Mytilus edulis: one gene and its partner. The protein of the gene in region 1 purifies or fractionates together with the protein of each later gene. This does not show direct contact. Links are inferred from orthologs where the notes say so. Each region holds a gene or a part of one and is shown in the gene's direction. Other genes may lie near its edges.

The links.
Region 2: the proteins of chromodomain-helicase-DNA-binding protein Mi-2 homolog (region 1) and metastasis-associated protein MTA3-like fractionate together in Drosophila melanogaster (co-fractionation; 3 studies listed by BioGRID, with this or other methods). This does not show direct contact. The link is inferred for Mytilus edulis from reciprocal best matches to the Drosophila melanogaster genes Mi-2 and MTA1-like.

The regions. Positions count from the first base shown.
Region 1 is NC_092356.1:18,627,554-18,635,525, reverse strand, and holds the start of chromodomain-helicase-DNA-binding protein Mi-2 homolog, read left to right. Parts: upstream 1-4,304; 5' UTR 4,305-4,456; coding exon 4,457-4,517; intron 4,518-5,660; coding exon 5,661-5,750; intron 5,751-7,960; coding exon 7,961-7,972. UniProt on the Drosophila melanogaster protein: ATP-dependent chromatin-remodeling factor which acts in nucleosome-remodeling by catalyzing ATP-dependent nucleosome mobilization. Involved in regulating transcription. Plays a vital role in development.
Region 2 is NC_092346.1:39,274,348-39,282,477, forward strand, and holds the start of metastasis-associated protein MTA3-like, read left to right. Parts: upstream 1-4,389; 5' UTR 4,390-4,794; coding exon 4,795-4,822; intron 4,823-5,296; coding exon 5,297-5,364; intron 5,365-5,549; coding exon 5,550-5,643; intron 5,644-8,130.

The DNA.
Region 1 (7,972 bases):
CCTTACACATTGTTGTTTATGATTGCTCTTTTGTGAGATAGTTGAACTTATCTTAAGATTTTATTTTGCAATTACGGGGCCGCCAACAATTGGTGTCTCCTAGATACTATAAAATAGCAATGCAAAAAAATAAACACAAAAGAAGTTCTACATTGATACAGTTGTGCGGGTCATCACTTTGTTTTTTTTTTTTCTTTTCTTTTTTTAATATCATGATTTCAAATTAAAATCACATGAAATAATTTAATTATTTTTTCCTACGTATATGTATGTCTTCAAATTCAAACATAGATTAGCCTTGTTTGTAGCTTCTGTAAACCAAAATTACTTAACAATTGCGCGTTCTCGATCCTAGACTGTCAACATCCTACAAGAAAAAGCCAAGGATTTATAGATAATCGAGAAGGGTAATCTAAGATTCCATGTGGCCAAATCATTTCCATGAACACAGCCACTTCAAAAAATCTGGTGGTTTAACTATGGGTCTCGCCAGAAGATGAAGTCATGTTATATATGCAATAAAAACTGTCCACAGATCAAAGAATTAGTCAATCAGATAGGTTAAATCATATGTTGAGTCAGACGATGAAACGTATATTCTAAATATAAAGAAGGCGCTGATAAACCCAACAGTGAAACAAAAACCTTACCATTAACACCAAATTATAATATATTTAACAGTAATTGTCAGGGGGTCTAGGAGTACTAAAAGGGCGTGCGCCACTTTGATTGCCATTCAAAAGAAAAGAAAAAAGACAAAAATATCATGTTTATCACGATTTATATGAATTTCCAGCCATAAATAAAGGCAATAGTAGTATACCGCTGTTCAAAGGCATAAATCGATTGACATAAAACAAATTCGCGTTACAAACTTAAACTGAGGGAAACACATCAAGAGGAAAACAACGGAACAACAGAAACGCTGAGGTGCAACAAAAACAAACGTCAACATACATCGAAACGAACTATTTGATAACAAATGCCATATATTCCTGATCTGCGTTCAAGACATTTTAAGAAAAATGGTGGGTTGAACCTGGTTTTATTGCTAGCCAAACCTCCCGTTTATAAGGCAATGTTAAAAAATATCGCTAAAATGACAACACTAAGTGACTGGAATACAGAATACAAACAATCGTCCAAATAGTTTTTGCCAAGCTATGCTCGGCAGTATATATTCCGTTTTCTGAAATAAATAAAAAACAAGTAATTTTTTTTTGTTCAAGCTAGAGGATACACAAAATTGAGTTGTCCAGTCTTTTTTTACCTTTATTCTGCCTGTATCTTAATAAGCAATGCATACAAAAAGAAAAATATATGCAATCGATATAGTATGTATATAGACAAATGTTTCAGATAACAAATTAAAAAACTAAAAAGATACCAGAATAAAAACCATGCAAAATTTAACAGAATCAATAAAAAGAATGTCATCAAAGAAAAGCTAGTTTCAAGTACTTATAATCAAAAGATGTAGGAAAAACGTCATCTTATGGTTAAAATATGTCATGTTGTCATCAAAAGTGGATTTTAAAGTTGTACGTCAATATCATCAACAGTGCAGAAAAACAGGACCCCTTGCAATGGGTCATATGTATATCCGTATATCAATTATATCCGTATATGTTAATTTACCCCCCCCCCCCCCCTTTTTGTTTACCTTTAACAAACGAAACAAACAAAACTAACAAAACAAAACAAAACAAACAAACAAACAAACAAACAAACAAACAAACAAACAAACAAACATAACAATCATAACAAACATAACAAAACAAACATAACAAACAATACAAAACAAACCCACGAAAGAAGAAGATAGAAAGTTATCAAAAAAATCATTCTGAAAATAATTCTGTGAGCCAGCTTAACTGCAGGAGGCACCAATGGACAGTGCTATATGGCATGGTGGTGCATATTAAAATCTGTATAGGGGCATTAATGATATGGTAAGATATATAAGGTGTTTTTCGCAGTCCTGTATTAAATTAAATTCAATTTTATTCTCGTGACAATTAGTTTCTCAATTAACCTAACTTGTGATGATCAATATAGTTATAGCATTACCATGCATGCAAATGAAACAAAAACATGTGATTTTTATCTATAAGCCTACAGTACGATATTCAAAGCTGAAACAACCTGTTGTTAAAAATCTATACAGTTCTGGTTATTACCAGTCGAAAAAAAATCTGGGGAGAACATGTTCTTTAAGCTCTGCTATTTCAAACTGAATCAAATATTTAAAAAAAAGTTGCAGTACTTCACGCTGAAACAAAGCCGAACAAGAAGAATAGCTAAAGTTCTGTTTGAAGAAACACAAACAAAAACACAAACACAAAAAAACATTCAACGAAGATCTTCAGTACTTTCCTATCAAACTGAAACAAGCTGAGAAGAAATCTAGCTGTCTGCTTTAAACACTCGAAACAAGCCTTGTAATGATATATAGTTTACATGTAAATATAAATTTAGAGTTGTGCTATTACAACCAAATCAAGCTCTACAGCTCTGATATGTTTAGCGGAAACAAACCGGATAAGAATATCGAGATATCTGTCAGTTAAAACAAAATCACGAGAAAAAATATTTACAGTACTTATATTCTAAACTGAAATAGATACGAGAAGAAAAACCTTTACACAAGTTCCATCTGCTGTTACCAGCTGAACTTGACCAGAAATCAAACATGAAAAGAACATATATACAGCAAGTACTGTAACTGCAAGTTGAAACATGACAGAAAAGAAAATATATAGAGATCTTATATTCAGTTGAACAAACATGGAAAAAAGAACTATATCGGCCCGTAAATAAATTCTTGGAAAACATCTAGTTCTCGGTGCTCTTTGTTAGTTAATTGATTGATAGAAGTTGCTTGACGCTCTGCTATGTTTGTAATAAAAGGCAATTGACTGAACCAGTTAAGGTTTGAAATGAAGCTAGAAGACTATAGTAACATGCAGAAAACTGCGGGGCCGGAAAGTGATAACAAAGTATATACGGTGTGTTTGGGTGGTTTTTGTGTGTGTGTGTGGGGGGGGGGGGGGGGGGGGGTGGGGGTAATTGAAGATTATATTAAGCAGAAACTCAGTAAAGAAGTAATATAGAAAGTAGAAAATAGTTTTTGATCACGCATGTTTATTTCAATAGCATTGGGGAGGATCTTAGAAAACACGCATCAAAGATATATAACAGGCTTTAAGCATTTGCTGATTGTTGAAGCCGTATCGAGTTATTAACTTCTATATGATCTTGTCTCTTGTGGATAGTTGTCTCATTGGCAATCATACCACATCTTCTTATATTTGTTCAGTTTCTAACAGGTTTTTGTTAATATACGCCAGACATTGCTAGATCATAGAAAACGAATCGTTGACCGTGCACTTGAGGGCTGCCGCCAAATCAAATATGAATTTAAAAAGTATAAGAACCAAAAATGCTAAAATTTGTCAAATTATCACGACAAAATACAACCATAGCAATCTGCGGTTCGGGTTATAAAACTCTTTGTATGTGTAATACGACTAGTATATAATCTACCTATATTTGCGCTAAATATGTAAACTTGGCTTCAAGTAAGAAAAATCTTTGAAGAATCTGTCATCAAACTGTATTTTCAAAATTAAAAAAGGGTTCAAATACAATAAAAATTCAACTATGATTTATTTTTTTTTGGTTTTACAAAATTTATAAACGTGACAAGAGACGAAATATGGTATTTGAAACACACTTTATGATTTATCATTTACTTTCTCATTTAATTGGAATAAATATTGATAAAGCTCTGTCTAAAAAGGAACAAAAATTATCATGGTGACCTAATTATGTGATTACAAAAGTGAGATTTTGCAACATTTCAGACAAAATATTTGCAAAAGCCGAAATACTTTTAATTTCACATTTTATTTATGTGTTTTTATTAAACTGTATAGGTCAATTTGCAATATATACTTAATTTTGTGCATAAGTCGTTAATTTGAAAATTAAGCGATAAGAAATAGATTTTTGTCATCTTAACAAAAAGATGATGGGGCTCTACAAGCAATTCATTTTGTTAAATATGGATGTGTAAAAACTTGTCATTTAATAATTGTCTAATTTTTGTGTAAACATGGAAATCTCAGGTATCATTTGAAAATCGAAATTGATGGACATGATAAGGTACCCAAGTTTTTCTGAAACAATTAAAGTATGCCTAGGGGTACTTTGATCTTGCACCTCATTAAATCACGTGATAAGTTATTAACTAAATCAAGAAAATTATGGGATGTATAAACCAATCATTGACGTCATACTGCGCATGTTCGATTAAAGTTCCAAACCGCGACGCTGGGGGAAAAGACAGGGCATCCTAATTACCATTCAAAAATCATACAAAAAACGCATGCCAGCGCAAAATATATGGTGAAATCACGGAATCAGACATTTAAGACTTTAATTTTTGTGTGACATGCCTGGTGGAAAGTTTGACGACGAAGAAAACGTGGAAATGGAAGAGGAGGCCGGCGAAGGTAAAAACCAATCAGACATTGTTTAATTAGCCATCGATAACAATATAGGATTTCACCTACTGAAATGTGAAATAGTTAGCTATAGAATAGTTCAGACCATAGATTTATGATCCATTTAGCTATAGACATACTCTTCAGTCAAATTTATTTTGTTTTTATACCATGTTTTAGTGTTTTAACATGACCAAACCACGAGTCTGGAATCCCCCTTTGTTCATTTGCATATTCGTGGTAAATACGGCCTATTTTGAGGGTATTCCCCAGGTTTAAAGCGTTTTGAACTTGGATTGTATTAAAGATATTCATGAAAATTGAAGTGAAATGTTCATTTTGATATTTGGGAGAATTTTGTTATTCTTTTAATTTTCAAACGACGGGATAAATATCTGGATATATATCAATGGTGTCGGCTTATCACTGCGCATGACCAAAGTTATTTTAATTAATGAGGTCAAACTTGCAACACTTGTTGTGATACACAACGAAAACACATGATTGATTATCAAAAAGATGTTGACTTGTAAATATGTTTTAGTGATTAAATATAACAATATGGAGGAACAAGAGTTCGAAGAAAGCTTTTTAGAAGAACATTCAATCTATGAATGATTTATAAATAGAACAGCACATGTCTATTTTCATTTTCACTTCAAGCTTGTGCAAGGCACCATCCAGTTTACGTGGAATTTTAGGCTCTAGTTTTTTGTTGCATATTAAAAAAAAGTGTGATTGTAATGCACACATCAAATGAATATTTATAATATTTCGAAAAAAAAATGATAATTATTTATACAGTGAGGTGGTGAAAGATTATATGGGGATTCACTTTATGTTTATTTGGTAGCATTAAAGCTATGCATTTGCTATTATTAATAGTATGAGTTATTTGAGTTGTTTATCCCCCATTAATATAAGATTATTTGTGCTTAAAGATTAAATATCAAGTCTGAAGTTCAAATCCTTAAAAATGTGTCTGTATTAATTTTTGTTCATGGAAAAAAATTGGGTTTGCTACAAATATTCAAATGCCCATCTAACCCAAATAAAAAATTAACCTGAAATTAAACATTAAATTATATGACTCAGTTTTTAAAGTAATAATTAACAAAAAAAGATACAAGTGGGATTATATGTTGATTTCAGAATCCAAGAATTCAGCACTCTGTCCATTGTCTAAATCACCAACTCCACCCCTTACCCCTGCAACAGAGTTGGTCCATATGGGCATCACTTGTAAGTAATGGTTCCCTGCTTCAGCTTGATTTTGCATGTTTGGTTAGATGGAGCCCAGTACATGTTAGATGATCTTATCTTTTAATTTCGTTGCCATTGGGAAAGAAGCAACAACAATAAATTGTTAGCACTACAGTGGTTGGTACAAATTAATATGCAAATGTCATATATAGGTTTATGATTTTAGGTATATTATGAAACTCTGGTCATTCTGACAAACTTATTTTTGTTGCACTTATGCCCAATAATTAAAGTCATAAGAAACCTCAAATTAAAAAAAATAATGCATATGTTTTTTATAACTCAATGGATAGTTTTCATTATAAAACTTTTGTACTGTACATATACTTTTTTCTGAAGATAATTCTTTAACTTGTTCATATTAAGAAGAAGTTGTCAAAGAGAAAACTTTTTTTAAGGGTTACCCTTGATTTGGCTGGAGGCAAAAAACTACACTGTCTGTTTGCAATAGTAGTAGTATATAGAAATGGAGTTTTAGATCTATTCAACTTATTAATATTTTTAATTTCAGTACGTTTCTATATATATACTCGGAAATATTTTGTTATGTTTACTGTTTTGTGATGGTGGTAGATATTATTATTTCTCTTGCTTGTGTTATGATTTGAAATGAAAATGCAATTCGAACACTTAAGATGGCAAACTATCAGTATTTCGTTTTGTGTTCGTACATGTACAATACATATGAACATTAATATACAACGCTGGCTGGAAGTCTCTTATTGAACATTTGGTTGACAAAAAATTGTTCTCCCCAGAATTTTCAAAAAGCACCATGGAAATCAACATAGCACTGATTTACCAAAAAATACAGCACCATGGTCTCTATATACATGTATACATTCTATTAGAAAATCTTTCAAGATGGCATCAGACATGATGGTGCTTTTAGGCCCTGGGGAGAACATTGATTGTCAATAAATAAAAAAAAAAACTAGACATATGATATAACCAGACTTCACTGGAGGTTTTTTTTATAATTTCATTTCTGGACTTCTGTTCAACAATGTCAAAAACTGCTTATTTGACTTTCAAATTATTTGTTCCATCTTACAAATATATGTTTATAGTACAGCTATTGAGACATCTTTGACAACACTTCTTGCACCATAGACAATGCTAGACCACCTAGGCTTGCTAGACCAAGTAGTCTTGCTAGATCATTATGTTTATATTATGTACAGAAAAAAAAAAGTTTACCTGTACGTACTTTCTGTTGATTAATGTATTACATGTGTTGTGTGAATTTTTAATTTACAAAAATATTTACCTGAAATGATAATTTGATTGAGTTTTTTTTATTTTGAACAATAGAATTAGGCTAGTTACATGTATATGTACATGTTTTACTTCATTTGTAACATTTTATTTGTAGACCTGTTATTCATTGTACTTGTTTTTTTTTTTTTTACTGTTTATTTATTGTTAGAATGTTTAACATTTTACCCATATATTTTCACCCTTTTGTATGTATGCATGTACATCAACAATATTTACAATCTTCAACTTGTGAAATTTTAATATATTTAAGTTCTAACGTTGTGTATATTTTTAAAAAATAAGATATTTTAGGATTGTGAAATTTATGAACCATAAAAACCTGTTGTGTTCTTATGGAATAGATTTAAGATAAGTTAATATATATTTTTGTACAGCCTTCTACATTTAGCAAAACCTATACCATATATACATATGGTCTGTTGAAAAAAACCCACCAAACATGAAGAAATGTGAAACAATTTAAACAAAAAAACCAACAACCTGATTTATGAGATTATTAAAAAAAAAAGCCAAATATGACAGATACGAAAACAACCAAGGACAACCACTAAACATTTATGTATGAACATCAACTTCTAAAAAAATATGTGAAAGGTACTAAAAGTTTGTTATTAGAATAAGAATATGTGGCATGATTGCCAATAACACCATTCTTCAGAGGAGATCAAATGATGTGGTTGCATAAGCTGCAAGCAACTAAGGGTCACTGTACAGCATATGCTAGTTTATATGTGTTTTTTCCTGAGATATTAATAACTTATGCAAGAAAAATCTCCATTGGTATATACCACAATAGATATCCATAAAAAAGGGGTCTACATTTGTCAGTATTTTTTTTTAAGGTAGCTGATTATTCTTTAGGTTCATTTCTCTAAATATACATGTAAAATGATGTCTTTGTTTTACAGATGAAAGTTTTG
Region 2 (8,130 bases), on another chromosome or scaffold:
CGTTTGATGGTTTTCTGTAACAAAAGAAGAAGAAGATTAATAACATGTGCGATTAAGATTTTGATGAACTTTATACACACCTGCATACATTACATGATCGGTCCAAATTTTCACTACAATAAGCAAACTTGAACGTCTAAATACTGTCATTCTTTCTTTAATATATTTCTATAAACAAGGAATGCAAAAAGATATTATCGTATTGTAATACATTTTCTGGTTCAAAGAGTTTTCGAACAAAAACGTACTGCTTTACCAAAATTTCAACTAATTTTTAGGGGAGATAAATTGGACTACTTACCGTGTTGCTATACAATGTATGTAGTATATAAAGGAGGAGGCAATTGTCACCGACTTTCTTTAACCAGTGTGAAAAAGTGACTCATTCCGTAAAAATTAAGCTTAGTTCCCCTAATTTATCTGTACTAAAACATGATTGCCAAGATGTATAGCCACTCACTTAGTCCCACCCTACATTTTTTTACGAATTAAAATCCTTGAACTAGGACAATTTTGAATTAGCTGCTTATTAAAAAAAATTGTGCCTGATCGTGGACTGCCTTAGAGGGGATCCACTCCAGACATGCTTCAGTGATTCCCTATATATAAATCAACAAAATGTTTCCCACAAAAGGGGATCAGACTCTCTGCCCCCTCCCAAAATCCGCCTCTGGAAACTACCATTTGCTGTAATAATTAAGTGATCCAGGAACTGGCAATATAAACATCTGCATGACCCATCATCATGTCAGGAACCTCGTCAGCAATTGTATCTTGGTTTAAGTTTTACGTTATATTGAAAATTGGGTGTTGATGGCACAGCTGTTTAATTTTTGACAACTTTTATAGTTTCTGTGCGATTAAGATTTTGATGAACTGTATACACACCTGCATATATATTGTTAAATATAAAAATAAGATGATGTGGACGGTATGGTTTTCTACGAGACAATACTCCACAAGAGACTAAATGACACAGAAATTAACGACTATATATCTATAGGTCACCGTACTGCCTTTAACAATGAGCAAAGTCGACATCGTATAGTTGCTGTCTTGAGAATTCACGTATACCTGACATCTATTCATTTTTTTTAATTCACAATGGGCTTCCATATTGGGATGGACGGTCAATCCTTTTTTTATGTTGGTATAGTCGAAGAAAGATTTCTTATCTATTGTATTATTGTAAAGACTGTTTATTTATATCAACAAGATTATGTTGTTATTTTAACTCGCATTTTGATTTTTTTTATATGAATTAAACAGGATTTTTAATATTCCGAAGAATGTCACATTTTAGTCTTAAATGACAAAATCGCAAAAATAAATGTTCGAAAAAAATTTATGAATTAGTAATAAGGTACACCAAGGCCGTAACTAGGCATCTTATTTTAGTGAGGCAAAATAATTGAGCCGAGCGAAGCGAGGCGTTAAATTTTTTTGGAGGGTATGAAATGAATGGTGCAAAATCCTGCGTTCTAGGCATTTTTAGAGAGTTTGATAATATTTTGAATTTGGACAGTTTTTATATAAATTGTTCATATTTAAAGACTTTTACTAATACCAAATTTTTAACAACTTTATTTGAATTTGTATGTAAGATAATCATCCAAATATCAATTTAAATCTGCCGCCAGAACATAGAACAAACATCGATTCAGTAGAGTTTGTCAATTATTTCTATGGTGGGTTCAGTCAATTAAATTGTTTTAGAATCATAACTTTGGTCTGCTGATATCCTTATCGCGATGAACATGGAGCATGGCAAGACCGCACAACCTCTCGCCACTCATGTATGCTCTTTTCCTAGATTTCAGTCGTTTCAGGTCAGTCTGTGTTTCTAAAGGTAGCACATTATCATCAACACAATGATCAATGTCTTCTTCCAATTCCTTCTCCATCAGCAATTCGGTAGCAGCATCGGTAGTAACAGTTTTGTTTGCAAAAGGGAATTAAGCTTTCCTATAAAGGCTAGCATCATCATACAGTCTCAGTTACAAAATATTAAACTCGCTTGTATGCTGACAAAGAGTAAACAAACTAGGGATAGAATGAGATAAGATACATGTATATGATCTATCTATAGAGTATTAAGTATATATGATATGGGTACAGGGGAATTAAAATGGAGTTTGACGTTTACATGTAGGTCCGTAATTTCAAATTATTTCTGGAAATAGTCGGTGGTATTTTAGTTCCAGAATCTATAAATTAAGGGGTTATGGGTTGGGGGTGTCTGATTCCGAAACCCCGAATATAAAGAAATGAAATTCCGTAGTCCCGAATAAGTAAAGACAAAATCCTGTGATAAAGGTTCTATACCATTCCTCAATAATGTCAAATTGGAATATGGGATGTTCTTTCAATTTTTAAGGATAAAGAAACATGGATCATGAAAAACTAATCCATGCATGTTTCATATTATTTATATTTTATTTATCTGTAAAGAGAAAGATTAAAGTTGATGAAACTGAGAAATGAATACACAGACAGGACTGCCCCCTTGCGATGCCCACTACTTGATTTGTCAGTCTACTTATCGTTTTTGGATTGTTCTAATGAAGTTATATGCAATACGCAGACTACGTTCACAAACAAATTAGTTTACTAGAATTATTCCTTCTTTACCTTCAGTGTCGCTTTTCCTTTTTCTGCAAGAGCCTGTTTTTAACCAGAGATCCATGATGATTATCGTTACTAGGTTAATGTAATTGAGAAACATCACCCGTTGAGATGCTGAGTTATATCCAGGAAGAATAGTTTAAAGGAATGATGACAAGTTATAGAAATTAAGGTTGAGACAGAACAACAAAAGACTATTTTATTTGTATATATGTATAAAAAAAAATAATCAGTGTCGAAATTTTAGTGAGGCAATTGCCTCACTTGCCTCAAGGGTAGTTACGGCCTTGTACACATGCAAGTAACTAGTTTTACTTTAGACTTTGAAAAAGATCACCATTGACGTCCAAGTGGTTGATTCATGGCATGTCATACTCGTATTCATATATACGTTTCGTATGTATGGCAATCTCGGTAATCCTTTTATGTCAATTAATTGCATCTGATTTAATGCCCATTATCGGCCCTGTAATTTGGGAAATCATTTTTTTTTATTCTATATTCTGTTCTATTCTATAGTATAGGTAAGTTTTGAATATTCAGTGCCATTTGTATCGAATTCCCAATAGAAGTGAAGCAATCATTTGCGATAAAAATACACCCCCTACAAAAAAACCCCAACAACAACAACAATAAAAAACAAAACAAAAGCAAAAACAAACATAAACATTAAAAACGAAAAAAAAACAACCCCAAACATTATGATTAAAAAAAAGACTTATTTTAAAAAACTTAAAAAAACGACCAAAACTATTTATGTATGTGCCTGTCCCAAGTCAGGAGCCTATAATTCAGTGGTTGTCGTTTGTTAATGTGTTACATATTTGTTTTTCGTTCATTTTTTTTTTTTTTTATATATAAACAAGGCCGTTAGTTTTCTCGTTTGAATTGTATTACATTGTCATTTCGGGGCCTTTTATAGCTGACTATGCGTTCTAGTATGGCTTTGCTCATTGTTGAAGGCCGTACGGTGACCTATAGTTGTTAATTTCTGTGTCATTTTGGTCTGTTGTGGACAGAAACTGTTGTCTCATTGGCAATCATACCACATCTTTATATATATATATAAAATCTATACAAAACAATGTATAATCATTGAATGTTTGCAATGACTAAAAATTCTAAGCTAGTTTTTTTTCAATCATCGGCACGGTTCAAAATGACATGGCAATTTATATATATGTAGACAGAGACATGTCTCTGATGTAGAGTATCAAAAGGTGCATTATATAAACAAAAAGTCCCACTACTAGCGTCATGGCTACTTTTTCACTATGCTAGCAAATATCCAAATGTGCATGTATCTTTTTTTTTAATCTTACCAAATTAAGCCTGAAATAATAGTAACTACTGCCCACCACATCGTTGTACGACTGTCAACTATCTATATAATTTATCTATTTTTCTGTATAGTCTTTCAGATATATCTAATTAGAAATCAGGTATTGCACATGATAAAAAGACAATTATTGTAGTTCCCGCATTCCTAATACACATTATATAAAATTGCAAATAGTGAAAAGTCTATCCCCCTTTTTTCTCTTATACCAAATAACAAACAAACAGACATTTTAATGACGTATTAAGAATGTGGATAATATACAGTAAGATCTGAACGCTGACTGAAGTTTATGATTATACTATCCTTTTAATTATGAATACGATTCAGTCGTATACTTGGCCTGCTTACGTGGTACAAAACATATGTAAATCATTGTGCGTGACTAAACAAGCTATAACAAATCATTTTTTATTTGGCCTAATGATTGATTTTCATTGTATTCAAAATACAGGATTTAAAAAAAGTTAAGTTTAGATAAACAATTAATTAATAGGATTTAGATAATAACAATAATTAAAGTAAATTTCAAATATTCCAATTATTTTCATCGAAAAAAATTATGAACTTTGATACCCTACAAGATATATGTATGTAATCTCTATGAAAGACATCAAAATAGTTCGGAGTGAAAACCAAAGCCGCCGAAGGACGAATGACGTCACGTGTGAAAAGAGGAGGAAGACAGAAAAGCCGAGAAATGGCGACTCCATGAAATGTCGTCTGGGGGTGATACTGACCGGACACTACCCATATTTTATTGATGTATTTTTGTCGGCTTGTTGGACTTTTGGAACACAACTGAGAGAACAACACAATAATTACCAGTCATGGCTGCAAACATGTACAGAGTAGGAGGTACGGAAGAATTATTGGGAAACAGCATGGACGGTCCCCACTCTTCCAACGCGTTGGAATATTGTGTCACCATAATCATGCATTTAAAGAGAAATAAACCGCATTTTTTAGGAAATTTGTTTGTTTACTAGTGAAAATGGATATTCAATCATTTTTGTGAATGTTTTGAAGTGTAATGTGGAAAGGAAGTTCAGTTTGGGGATCTCAAGGGGGAAGTAAAGCGGTCGGAATGACAGAAGGAAGAAGTTTTTCTCCTTTTCTAAAACATGGATTTACGAATGTTTATCTAACAAATCAATGGAAAGATTCGTATATTCAGTTTGTATTACAATTATTTATATTAGAAAAATACTTTAAATTTGAATTCAACTGGTACTTAAGTTCAAGGAAGCTTTTTAAAATGGACTATGTTTTGGCGGAAGGATTATACTACAAATTAATTTTAAACAAAGAATTTTTATTTTCTTATTACAGATTACGTCTATTTTGAGACAAGTTCAACAACTCCATACCAAATTCGACGTATAGAGGAACTAAACAAGGTACAGCATTTTATTTATTTTCTTTTTTATGTCGTAAAATTAGCTGTTTAATAAAAAAGAATGTAAATTGAGGCCGGTAAAGGGCAAAGAGGTACCTATGGGGTGTTAATTTATCACACTGGGTGGTCACGTGTTCAGGTGATCGAAATGGCTTCGATATCAGATGTCTATTTTCATTTTTTCAGACTCCAAATGGCAACGTCGAAGCAAAAGTTATGTGTTTCTACCGAAGAAGGGACATCTCCAGTTCACTTACCCTGCTTGCCGATAAACACCAAAGTAAGTCTGATTCTACTTTTGAAAATTGACTGCACATAAGTTCTGTGTGTTGACAGTGCTTGCTGTGGAAACACAGCATCATAACATTATATTTTCAGAACTTCAAGAGTTTCATATGTGTAAATTGGGAGTATTTACATCAGGAAAACAACATTAGCACGTGGATTTTGTACTACAAACGAAAATAGTCCGGCAATGAGAGAGTTGTGATTGGTTAACTTTAGTTCATTGATGAGATGGGGCTGTACCTTTTCAAAATGTAAACAACACCCATTCCCAGGGCATAATATCAACTTTTGGTCCATATTACTCGCAAATAAAAATATATATGCGAGTCTTCTCTTACATTGATTAGAGGAAAATATATTTTATTTTGAATTAGTTTTATCTTGTGTTGTTGACTACATGTATTTGTTGTCAGCTTTAAAACTGACCCATACATTGTAGGACATTAGACCTACACAAATGTAATTGTTCTTGATTTGTTTAAATTGCTTTAATTGTATAAATAGAATAACGATACATTTTAAACAACTAACAAGGACAAACAAAATTTGGGAAAGTTAGTAATTGTATCCTATTATTAAATATCTAATAACAGCAAGATGTGTTGTATTTTAAGAATTGTTAGTTTCATACAAGGTTTAATTTTTGCTTCGCCAAGCCATTTCTTACCTAGATAACTTTACAAGCACAGTAAAAAATACATAGCAAAACTTTTCATACCTTGAATTTCAAATTTCGTTGTTGATAAAAAATTTGTTTTTTTGACTTTTCAATATTTTACTGAAAGATGGTCATAGAATGTCTTAGACTTTATATTTTGCAGTTGACATTTAAAGACAGTCTGGTCTTGATTTTTTTTCATGAATTTTCATTTTAAAATGATAAGATTAAAAAGACTATCATTTTGATGATTTTTTATGAAACTTGAAAAGAAGCTTATTTCAAGATCAAGAAATGAAATACAAAGTAACACCAAAAGTGCGTATAAATCTAAAAATGGCAAAAGTGATGCAGGGTTTTAATAACAATGTTTTTGTGTGGAATTTCAGAAAGCCTCTAAATTATGTATCAGTACAATTATTTTTAATTTAAATTTGTCCTGTTATTTAAAACTTTGCTTGGCCTTAAATATATAAAATCTTGTTTCCTGTCTCATGGCATAAATCCGTGGATTGAAACTTTTCCTTGTCTAACAACACAACATTTTTTTATTTTAAAATTTATTGAATGAATGTTGAAAAAAATTAGACATACATTGTACATTTGTACATGTTGGTTTTTCTGTCCCTTTCCATCAGTCCAGCAAATCAATTTTGAAGATATTGATTTGATATTTGAGATATTATTTTATCTTAACAAGTTATAGATCAATATAAAAAAGAAGATGTGGTTTACCGATAAAAGGCTTGTATAGTCTGCGGTTTATTCTCCAAAATTGAACCTACCAGCTGGGGTGCGGACTAAAGAGTACAATAAGCAAGAAATAAGAGAAAAATTCAAATTTCGCACTCTTTATAATTTTTCGAACTAATAATTTTATCTAATCCATATTAATAAGTTATTATTCAATATCAAATTAATATTGAATAATAATATAAATTTAGAAATTAAATGCTTCATAACAAATTTCTAATTTCTTTTCATTGCATTGCTTATAAAATAAACTGGTATCTGCTTGAATGAAGCTGTACCAAAAAAGTAAGAAAGACAATCATAAACCAGCTTACAGTGTGTAAATTAGAAAACGTAATCAGTTATTATACGTTTCTTATTCATGTTTCATGCAGACTAATATGTTATTTATTAGCTTAAAACCCTTCAAACACTAATGTGATAGATATATTTAACACTTATTTACATCAGGATGGAACTATTTTACTTTCAAAGTTGTATTATATTGATATCTAGTCAATTGTATGTACAGATTTTGACTCTCGCCGTATTTTTCTCTGTGCTTGTCAAACTTCCGTTCTAAACTTTAAACATAAACAAGTTTCTTAATTGTTTTTTGTGGGATATAAACTTATTTTAACAACTGTGAAGGGTTTGAGAATGATTTACAAGCAGTTTCAGCTTCTATTTGATGATGGAAAATAGTTTTTTCCAAGAAAATATTGCATACGCCCACATACGATTTGATATTACAGGAGTTTCATTAGACCTTTTCCAACAGTTACAAAAAAGTTTTTTATCAAAAAATTTTGTGGGGAGATGGGGATGTCAACTTTGTACCAGTACGAAGCCCCATTACTGTAATTGCCAATGAGACAACTCCACAAGAGACCAAAGGACACAGAAATTAACAGTTCAAATTTGTTTTGGTCTGTTGATTTTGTTAAGAGTGATGGTCCTTTTTGAAGATATTAGCTTGACATTTGTTTTATAGTTGACACCATGACAATTTAGATAAGTTATCCTTTTCTTCCAGTACAAATTCTACAATGAATTTTGGAACCGGTAGGGAACTATGTTCAAATTGTA